Linked DNA regions of Saccharomyces cerevisiae S288C. The protein of the gene in region 3 interacts with the protein of the main gene of each other region in a biochemical or structural test. Each region holds a gene or a part of one and is shown on either strand. Other genes may lie near its edges.

Region 1 (3,732 bases), on a different chromosome or scaffold from region 3:
TTCAACAGTAAGAATTTACTATACATTTCTGCAGCCGGGATTGCGTCTATTTATGTGGTCAAGACCATAGTGAAAGCTAGAAGAGATGCTAAATTTATACCAAAGGCGCGGGGAAACAATGGTGAAGTGAATGAAAAAAACTATTATGATAACCTTGCTCAAGTCAAACCAGGGTTCCCCATACCTAAAGATGGAGGAGACAACATTGATTGCTCTGAGGACCATCAATTAGTAAGAAAGAGTAAATATGAAGGTAGCGGGCTTAGTGCTGTAACAAGAAAAAGAGGTGACAAATTAGGTTTTTTAGATAGGAGGAGAAACGAGTAACACACGTTTAATCAACCTATCCATTTTTTCAATGCAGTATTATGTATATATATATTCATCGCACTGTAAATAGTGACATATTATGAGTCAAATATGCCGAATAAACTTTAAAAGTGAGAAAAGCCGTCACCGATGAGTAGGTTAGCGTCACCTAGTGGCGGTGGTAAATATTATTACATAAACATATCAAAGTTTTATTAATACATTTTTTAATCCTTTAAATTTTCTGGAAACTAATACATAATGAAACTCGGAAAAATTAAATTTAATAAAACCAAATTAAATCAAACAAAAAATTGACAATTAATTATTTCTTTTCGAAATAGTCCGCCATTTCCTTGTCCAGATCTTCAAGACTTTTCTTAGCAGGCTTTTCTCTCTTTGGTTTGTTTTGGGATTTTGCCATAGCAGCTTTTCTATTTGGACCCCTCTTTACTGGTCTTGGAGCGTTTCCGCCTTTTTGTGGCATAGCCTTGATCCTGTCGGCTAAACTTTTGACTGGGCGTTGGTTTGGATCAACGATTAGGTTAAGTCTCAATCTTGATCTGCCTCCATCGATTGGAGAGCCGTTAAATCTTTCAACAGCCCTTCTGGCCAATTCACCGTTTTTGAATGTGATGTTAGCCATACCAGTAGATTGGCCCCTTTCGTTATAACTCAACAAAACTCTTTGAACACCACCTACTTGAGATGCAAAAAATTCCTATAATAAAAAAAAAAAAGTTAGTCATATATCTCTATGATATAAAATCAAAGAAGGAAGGGACAATACACAAACAATCAAGGAGTTGAGAGTATTAAAAGTATACCATTGCGTAGGAAAAATAAACCCTCAAATAAACATGTACCACGATGGGTGAGTTCCTCTTTGGTTTCATTAGGTGTCTCAAATCAAATATTTTTGTAACTATCATAATAAAAAAATGAAGCGATGCACTCATATCTTTTCGAACGTTCATGAAAGACATGTTTCCCATAGCTATTTTTTGAAAATGGTGCCATTCGAAACTGAAAGCTACTCCCTCTTGAAAGGATACAAAATTAATTGATCCTTCCACAACTTCAGTATTGGATGATACGCTTATTAAAAATAGGAACTAACTATCACGGTCGAGGCGACACAATACGCCAGCTTAAAAATGTAAGATTGACAGATTAGCAGATAGTCAGATTGATTTGAGTTAACCCAGCCAATAAGAACAAACCCATTCTCAGTGGTAGCTGGTAATTCCAACCTTATAGGCCATGATTTGAAGTATTGAAAAAAATTGGTATGGTTGGCTTATGAAAACGATACTCTTTTTGTATTTTCTCTAGCGAAGTATTTCGGACTCTTTCTTCATCTCTAAAAAGAGAATTCTTGATCAAAAGCGTGTGCCATATCCTTCCTTACAAAGAATATTTCTCGTATCCACACGAGACGATGCGAGTAACTAAACAAATAGCTCTCATTTCACGTATTAACATACTCTTACAGCATCCTGCTTAATGTCCCTTGGCAAACCTTCGACGTTGACCTTGACCTCTCTAGTGGTGTCCAAGAGCTTGGCAACTCTAGCGACTGCGTTTGGAGGTGCCCTAGTATTTTTTCTGATAGGGCCTCTTCTGTTTGGAAGGCTCCTACGTTGGCTACCAACTTGCTTACCAACTCTTCTTGGACCGTTACCACGAGTACCACCGACACGGGCTCTATTACTTCCTGCTTTGTTAGAGCCAATGATTTCGTCTAAGGATTTATCTAAGTTAGCAGACATTTAGCAGATGTAGGTATTTTCTTAATATGGATTTCTTAAAGTTTCAAATAGAACGAGGGAGATTTTTTTATCTATTTGTCTTCGATAGTTTTCGGATAAAACTTCTTCTAACAAAAAAACCTACTACTAAACACACGATAGGAATGACAGAAAAAAGCGAACGGAAGAAGTGAAAAAGGATAAATTTGGCGGCCTTTTATAGTTCTTCAAGTGGTGAGCCGAAAGCCGTGGAAAAACAACACGTCTCCCCGCCCCTGCCTCGTCGCGAAAAAAAAAATACTAGCAACTGGACAAAGAACTCTGTGGTAGTGGTAAAATAGCTTTAATATACGTATTTACTTTGTAAATATAGTTACATAAGGGTTTTTTATGTGTTAATGAACAGAAAACGAACAATTGGTAGCAGTGTTTTATAATTGCGCCCACAAGTTTCTATTTTTTATTTCTTTTAAGTGCCGCTGCTTCAACCATGCACTTTAGCTGTTCGGGGAAATCCAATTCGCCTAATTTGACTTCTAAAAGTTCTATCCCGCTTCTTTTGTTTGAATTCTTAAGCTCCTCCAATTTCAGTGCTAATTTAGAGGGACATTGAATGAGAGTGCTATTAGTATACTTTCCGTCGAAGTCTCCGAATGCTTCAAATAGTTTGGTCCATTTCCAAGACATAACGTCGTTATACGACCTGGTAGGGCCCATGATGGCTCTTTCAATAGTGTAGCCGTTATTGTTCCAAATGATAACTTCTAGTGGAATATTGCACTTCAGAATGGTGCTCAGTTCTTGGATTGTCATCTGTGCTGCACCGTCACCTTCAAACAAAATTAATCTTGGCTTATAGTCCTCTTTTACGTTGCCACCATTGATGTGAGCGTTTGAGTGGTCTTGCATGGCAATTCCAACACCTAGGGCGGCAGGAAGGGCCATGCCAATGGAAAGGAAAAATCCTTGCGATATATATTTTAATTGCGAAGGAAACGCGAAATCACGAACAGAGAATTGAAAAGAGCCTGTTTCACAAACGACAACATCACCAGGGTTCAAAAATTTAGGCATCGTCTTTTGTAAGTGAACTTGTGTAATAATGCTTGATTGTCCATTGGTAGGATCTTCTAACCGCATTGTTTCGTTCGTATATTGAGTTACATTTGAATCATATTGCAAAGAAAGTTTAGAAACGTCAATGCGCTTGTATAGTTCTTTTAAAATAGGGGCAAAATTGATTCCTTTGAACATTTGCTCATTGCCCTGCCTAGTGTCCACAAGGCGAATATAATTCGGATGAAATTGAATGATTTTAGCATTTGGTTTATAAGTAAAAGTATAATGCCCATTATTAATTTCATTGATGTCGACTCCAAAATGCAAGACCAAGTCGCACAGTTCAAAATGTTCATAGACTTGTTTTAAACCTTCTTTACCATTATATTGACCCATATAAGTTGGGTTTGACTCATCAATTACAGATTTTCCCATAACAGTGGAAAAATTCCAAATCCCAGTTTTGCAGATAAGCTTGTTCAAAAAGTTACTCACACCATACCTATCAGTCAGTACGTCTCCAAGGATCGCAGGTGTTTTACTGGAATATATCCAACTAGTAATCTTGTTGATTATGTCAGACAATTGGTTTTCAGAAGGGTATACTATACAA
Region 2 (3,176 bases), on a different chromosome or scaffold from region 3:
AAACATGAACACACAACGAATGCCTGTAAACACGCTTGCCGCGCTAGACATGCAAACGATCCTCAAAAAAAAAAAAACGCTCGTATGAAGACCTAATTTACGTATTTTTTTTTTTTTTGTTTTTCGTTTACGCGTTAATTGATCGATTATGAGCTTTTGGGGAAAAGTAATTGCCGCAGCGGCTGTCGTACCGGAAGAGTGTTGTTTTTCATTACCAAAAAGGGATAATAGTGGTTCCTTTATGTGACATTGGTAAGCTGATTGGGCATAATTACTTGCCTGATGACGAATAACGCGAGAACTGCCCATATAGAATCTGACGACGTAAGGAGAAGAAAAAGCGGGAAACGGATTTCTCGTTCTAGGCCTCGGCGGCTCTTAAAATTGTAAAATGAAAATGAGAATAAAATTAAACTATACACAGCTGATCAGCGTTCTAATGAAAAAAAAATGCATTGGAAGGAAAAGCCGAAATACTTCATTTTCTGGGCATTGACGTTCTGTTGCCTCTTGTGCATACACACTTGTTTTTATTGAAATCGAGCTTATTGTAAGAGAACTTGCGCTTATCTTCAAATGCCGCTTTCCTCGAAAAAGCATTTAAACATCATTCAAGATTATTAGTCTATCAAGCTTGTCCAGACTGCTTGTTATTATGTAAAACAAGTATGTTGGTATTGTATTTGATTGCCGATTCTCATATCGCCATACACGAACCAATTATGCATCATAAAAAAAGCGTAGTTCTTTTACCCGACCAACCAACTTCTTCCTTTGTCCTCAATATCAAAGAAAAAAAAAAAAACCCACTGCTCAGATGTTATAAGGAAGGGGTGTTAACTTATATACAGGTTCATCTACCAGTCACCAGTCCATACAAACTTGAACCGTCTGCGTACCAGTCCTAATCAAAATGTTCCCTATCGCTTCCAGAAGAATACTGCTCAATGCTTCAGTTCTGCCATTGAGACTGTGCAATAGAAATTTCACTACCACAAGAATATCCTACAACGTCATACAAGATTTGTATTTGAGGGAACTAAAAGACACCAAACTGGCTCCAAGTACCTTGCAAGATGCTGAAGGTAATGTTAAGCCTTGGAACCCACCACAAAAACCAAATCTACCAGAATTGGAACTTCAAGGCCCAGAGGCTTTAAAGGCTTACACCGAGCAAAATGTAGAAACTGCTCATGTTGCTAAAGAGTCTGAAGAGGGTGAGTCAGAGCCAATTGAAGAGGATTGGCTAGTTTTGGATGATGCTGAGGAAACCAAAGAAAGTCATTGAACTTTTCATAGCATCCTCCTTGTCGAAGAAAAAACAAACAGAACCACAAGCTGAACAAGATCATTATTTTTGGCTTTCTTCCTCTCATCTTTTTATATTCGAATCCAGTACAATAAAGAAAAAGCAAAATACACTACGCACTCTTTGTAATCAGCCACACAAAATGCAGAATTTATTTTTTAAACAAAAAATACAATTGTACATAGACACGTCTTTATCTTTCCTATTACTACTATTCTTTTATTTCAATAACTATTACTTTCTAAGTATGACCTACGCTTCTTTGGTAAATAAATAATGATCCGTTTATGAAGGACATGCGTGGTTCGTCACCTTAGGATAATATCGCTCTGGACGAAAGCTCATCCCACCGAGATAGAAAAAAAATTTTCGTTTCTTTTTTCTTTGGCGAAGATTTTGAAAAATTTGAACTGTATGATCAACTTTTCCTCACCTTTTAAGTTTGTTTCGTTTTTAAACAGGAAGAACTGCTCCTTCAACATTTTTCCCTCAATCGATTTTTAGTCCAGTACAAAAGGAAAATCAAATAAACTCATTTATATTATAAATGTCTGCCCCAGCTGCTAACGGTGAAGTTCCAACATTCAAACTAGTTCTTGTCGGTGATGGTGGTACTGGTAAGACCACTTTTGTCAAGAGACATTTGACCGGTGAATTCGAAAAGAAGTACATCGCCACCATTGGTGTCGAAGTGCATCCTTTATCCTTTTACACCAACTTCGGTGAAATTAAATTTGATGTCTGGGATACTGCCGGCCAAGAAAAATTCGGTGGTTTAAGAGACGGTTACTACATTAACGCCCAATGTGCCATCATCATGTTCGATGTTACTTCCAGAATTACTTACAAGAACGTTCCAAACTGGCACAGGGATTTAGTCCGTGTTTGTGAAAACATCCCAATTGTCTTGTGTGGTAACAAGGTCGATGTCAAAGAAAGAAAGGTCAAGGCCAAGACTATCACTTTCCACAGAAAGAAAAACTTGCAATACTACGATATTTCTGCCAAGTCCAACTACAACTTTGAAAAGCCTTTCTTATGGTTGGCCAGAAAATTGGCTGGTAACCCACAATTAGAATTTGTTGCTTCTCCAGCTTTAGCCCCACCAGAAGTCCAAGTCGATGAACAATTGATGCAACAATACCAACAAGAAATGGAACAAGCTACTGCTTTGCCATTGCCTGATGAAGATGATGCTGATTTATAAGGGACAAACGAGAACAAGCTTTCTTTTTTCCCTACCCTAAACTGTATACATATTTACATTCATCTCGATATAGAAATTCAATAAAAATCCACATGATTTTGAAGATTTTATAATTGCAACAAGAAAACACAAACTAACTGGTACTCCTGTCTTTTATAAAACAGATTTAAATATATAACAAATAGTTGAATGTGAATATGCTGTGATTTAAGTATATTTAAACGTATTTGGCTTGTCTAATATTATATTTTTTAGATCGTTTATGGATCGTTTCAAACGGATGTAGGAGCACACGTAACAATTAGATTATATCTTTGAACATAAAACCAATAGCCTTAAAATCAAAGAAACGTCTCCTTCAACTTGCGTTAAAGGCATACCAAAGCAAGCTTATTCAACCATGGTTACCCTTGAATACAATGCAAACAGTAAACTGATCACTGCGAGTGATGCTGTTGTTGCACTATCTACCGAAACTAATATCGATCAAATAAATGTTCTCACTACATCTTTGATTGGAGAAACCAACCCAAATTTTACACCACAACCGAATGAAGCTCTAAGCAAAATGATCAAGGGTTTATTTGAAAGTGGTATGAAGAATTTACAACAAAAAAAATTGAATGAGGCATTGAAGAATGTTTCTTTAGCAATCGAAAT
Region 3 (3,760 bases):
TAACATATACAGCAAATTGGCCTCTTAAAAGTGTCGCATAGCTTTGTAATAGCTCCATTGCTGATACTTTATCGTCAAGGACGGATGTGTGAATAGCAATGTGTTTTCCCTGAACTTGAACAACATCCCAATCTGGATATTGTTGGAAATTTGCTGCTTCTTCTTCTTCAATTAAACCGACGTCTTGCGTTGCTTTGGCAGTAATTAGCAGGGGTGGTATAACAATCGGTAACAACGGAACAAAATCATCACCCAGAATTCGGCAAATCCTGCTCCAACTTTGTTCTAAGTATGATCTGAGCGCATCATCTTCATCGATATCTGAGTTTTGTAAAGCGACCAATATAGAAATCAGCTCTTGAGAGTGCTCATGAAATTTTTCCTTACCAACGGCAAAACCAATCAGAGTTGCACATTCCATACATTTACCTTTCAAAACACTATTATCTTTATTGTTAACCTTCAAAACATTTAATAATAATGGCATTAGAGTATCGTAATACTTGATAAATTTATTCTTTGCAGCTTCAGCAATAAATGCAATGGTTGTTAGGGCCTGTTCCTGTACGTAAAGTTTGTTGCTTTGTAATAAAACTAATAAATTTGTCAATAGACTATCCAAGTAAGGCTCAAGAATATCCTTCGAAGCGAATTCAGAAAAGTTAACCAGAGCCGCTGCGGCGTGCGTTTGAACTCTTGAGGTGCATTCTGACGTTAGTTTAGATATTAAAGCCGGCAAAATTCTATCGTGTGCAGTTCTTTGAATGAATGGTGAAAAATCAGTAGATATTTGACCCAAAACATTACAACATCCATACTGTACTCTTGGATGAGGATCGTTGATGAGGGGAATTACCATATCCAGGATTTTTGGGATCTCGCCGATCAGAACATCAGCACAACCCTCAGCTGCAGAGGAAAGTGCCATCATGGCCGCGAATCTTTCTCTCCATTCGGTTGATGTGATCATTTGCTGTAAATATTGGAACAATGGTGCAGCCAAATATTCACCACCCAGCTTTAAAGCAACACGATCAAGAGCTTGACGAGCGTGGTCATATGTAACTTCCTCTTCATCATCGGTATCGTCAGATTCTATCCATTCTGCTGCATCATCATCATCTATGGATACCTCCGTCATCATGATTAAAGTAACCATCACTAAAGTTTGCCCGTAATTCTGGTTCGATTTACACATTTGGGGAGCGTTCTCGCTGAAAACGGTTAGCAGTTCGAGTGCTGTGGTTCTTGCTGGAGGTTCTAAATCCTTATTTTTTATAACCATATCAGTGAATTGTATTATTTGGTCAAACATATCCTTGAATAGTTTTGGTGCCAATTCCACCAACTCAATTAACGATTCAAAAACTGATGCAAGGGCATCGTCCTTACCATCATCTAAAAATCTTGGTAAACTATTCAAAAGACTTGGTAATAAAATACCTAACTTGGACCACTCAGATTTTGGTAGTTGCTTAAAATAACCCACGAAAGCCGTAACTGCAGCAATTTTGACATTATCACTTGCATCAGTAAAGCCTGATTGAAAAATTGGTAAGATACTGTTGATGTCAACAGCGGTAATTAAATAAGGTACAGTCGTCAAAATTCTAAAACTGGATTCTCTAAAATTTGGGTTACCGCTTTTTAAAGACTCTATTAAAGCTTGTAGTAATTCTGGCCATGCTGGTAAGTCGTCTTGAACACACTCAGCAATAGCATCAGATAGTTTGTGCCTAATTGAATCAGCTCTTTCCGACAAAAACCCTTTTAACAATGAAGAACGAATTTGTGCAAGAACTTCTTTCCTAATATGTGTGATATTTTTGGACATAATCATAAGCTTCGAAGAAGGGGGAGCTTTTAATGCTAATTTTCTAAACAGAACAGCAGATAATGCTGCAACTGTTGTATCTTGGGAGAAAGCGGCTTGTTCAGCCAAAAAAGTTAAAAGATACTCAATATTGTTTTCGGTAATCCATTCTTCACTAAGAGCCTTCTCAGCTACAGAACGTATTTGATTGTCAGGGGAAGCAAACGCCTGGACAATCTGAAGTAATGTTCTATTAACTTCTTCCGGTAAAGCAGACATAGCGATGGCTCTAGTTACGGTTGAAATCACGTGTCGTTAGGATAAAGTGGCTTGCAAGCTAATTACTTTTGTTTGGGCTATCTGCCACTTTGATCTACTCAGTCTATTAGCCACTCGGTATCTGAAGAGCGCCGAACTTCGATCACTGTTATAGCTGTCTATAATACTATAGTGATTATTGGACCGTCTGGTATTAGTATTCCCATTTTTTTAGTGAATTTCATTTTTCTTTTTTTCCTGGGTAGAAAATGAAAAATTTTTCAGTTTCTGCAAAGAATTGATATCGTGCGTCATGATGATAATACCGATTTACTGCAGTTCGTACAATTTATTTTTTTTTTTAGAATGTCAAACAGATAGTCCATGATAGGCTATTGGATTATTTATCAACACTCATGATCCATATATTTTGAGATTATATTTGATGAAGAAATAAAGCGGCATATCATACTTTTCTTAAAGTTTAATAGTTTGTATTATATTATAAAGAGTGTTTACGTAACAAAAAAAACTATATATATATTTGCTTATGTGTAATGTACAGTGAAGACGATTAGATTCAAACCCTAAAACTAAAAATAAAGAGATCGCTAAAAGAATCGAAAAAAAAAAAGATGAGCAATATCAAGAATAAAAAGCAAAAGTGAATATGGTTTATACTCTCCTGCTTAGTTTCCTTCTATATTTTTTGGTTGCTGATGTTATTCTTCTATCTACAATGATTTTTTGTTAAGAATGCTTTCGAAGTAGTTTTTGATTTTATTGATCAACGACGATTTGATGGTGGGTTAAGACGTTCTTTAGCGATTTTATATTCTTTGTTCAATTTTACCATTGCTTCTTCCAATTTAGTAATTTCATCACCCTTTTCGACAACAAAGATGGTCTTCTCGTCGTTTAATTTGGCTGGGATTTCCAATTCTGCGATAACAGATTGCAAAACTTCAACCACCTTATTTTCTGGAAGATCAAATAATTCGGCTAGTTTAGCAACAGAAAAACTTGAATAGAACCTCTTGAAAGAAAAGAAATAAGTCTTCAAAGATTCAACTTGTACTCTTTCCGTTAAACTATTCAACACCGTTTCCATGTTTGGTAATAAAGCCCAAGATTTTATTTCTCTTAAGTATTTAACAGAGTCTCTCCAGTTACCTTTTTGCATTGATTTGGCAGCAAACAAGACATAATCTCTTAAAGTTTCTGGTGGACCTTGGAAACTTAACTTGTCGTAATGTTCTAAGGAACGACGAATGGATTTTGGAGAGTAAGGAATTCTCTTGACCTTAATACCGGAATAGAAGGCAGTCATTCTTGGAATTTCGATCAATAAGGAACATGTTAAGAAGACGACATCGATTAAATCGAGATTGATGTGTTGGTGATATGGCAAACATTGTCTAGCACGCTCATCAGCTGAAGCATTGTTACTAGAATTGAGAGATATTCTGTGTAGGGATTGTTGGCCCAAAATTTCTCTTAAGTGAGAACTTGACAGAAGATCATTCAAAATTTGATGACATTCTTCAATCAAACATAATTTAAAGGCGGATAGACCCAATTGAACAACAACCCTGTTGAATAAAATTTGTAGGGATGAATCGAATTGGTTGATATTTGTTTGAACTTGGGAAGTTAGTAACATATCTTTAGCAGTTTGGAAATCTTTGT

Evidence for each region.
Region 1: the proteins of PSE1 (region 3) and YRA1 form a complex in vitro, tested with the Saccharomyces cerevisiae proteins (one study listed by BioGRID).
Region 2: the proteins of PSE1 (region 3) and GSP1 form a complex in vitro, tested with the Saccharomyces cerevisiae proteins (5 studies listed by BioGRID).

What each region holds. Positions count from the first base shown.
Region 1 is NC_001136.10:1,234,907-1,238,638, reverse strand, and holds YRA1 (RNA-binding protein YRA1), read right to left. Parts: upstream 2,082-3,732; coding exon 1,797-2,081; intron 1,031-1,796; coding exon 635-1,030; downstream 1-634. Other genes in the region: COI1 (Coi1p), read left to right, coding at 9-327; phenylpyruvate decarboxylase ARO10, read right to left, coding at 2,514-3,732. UniProt on the Saccharomyces cerevisiae protein: RNA-binding RNA annealing protein. May have a role in pre-mRNA metabolism. Component the TREX complex, which operates in coupling transcription elongation to mRNA export.
Region 2 is NC_001144.5:720,111-723,286, reverse strand, and holds GSP1 (Ran GTPase GSP1), read left to right. Parts: upstream 1-1,856; coding exon 1,857-2,516; downstream 2,517-3,176. Other genes in the region: YLR296W (uncharacterized protein), read right to left, coding at 1-309; ATP14 (F1F0 ATP synthase subunit h), read left to right, coding at 914-1,288; Sec63 complex subunit SEC72, read left to right, coding at 2,917-3,176. UniProt on the Saccharomyces cerevisiae protein: GTP-binding protein involved in nucleocytoplasmic transport. Required for the import of protein into the nucleus and also for RNA export. Essential for cell viability.
Region 3 is NC_001145.3:890,130-893,889, forward strand, and holds the start of PSE1 (importin PSE1), read right to left. Parts: upstream 2,093-3,760; coding exon 1-2,092. Other genes in the region: NIP1 (translation initiation factor eIF3 core subunit c), read right to left, coding at 2,859-3,760. UniProt on the Saccharomyces cerevisiae protein: Functions in nuclear protein import as nuclear transport receptor. Serves as receptor for classical and arginine/glycine-rich nuclear localization signals (cNLS and rg-NLS) in cargo substrates.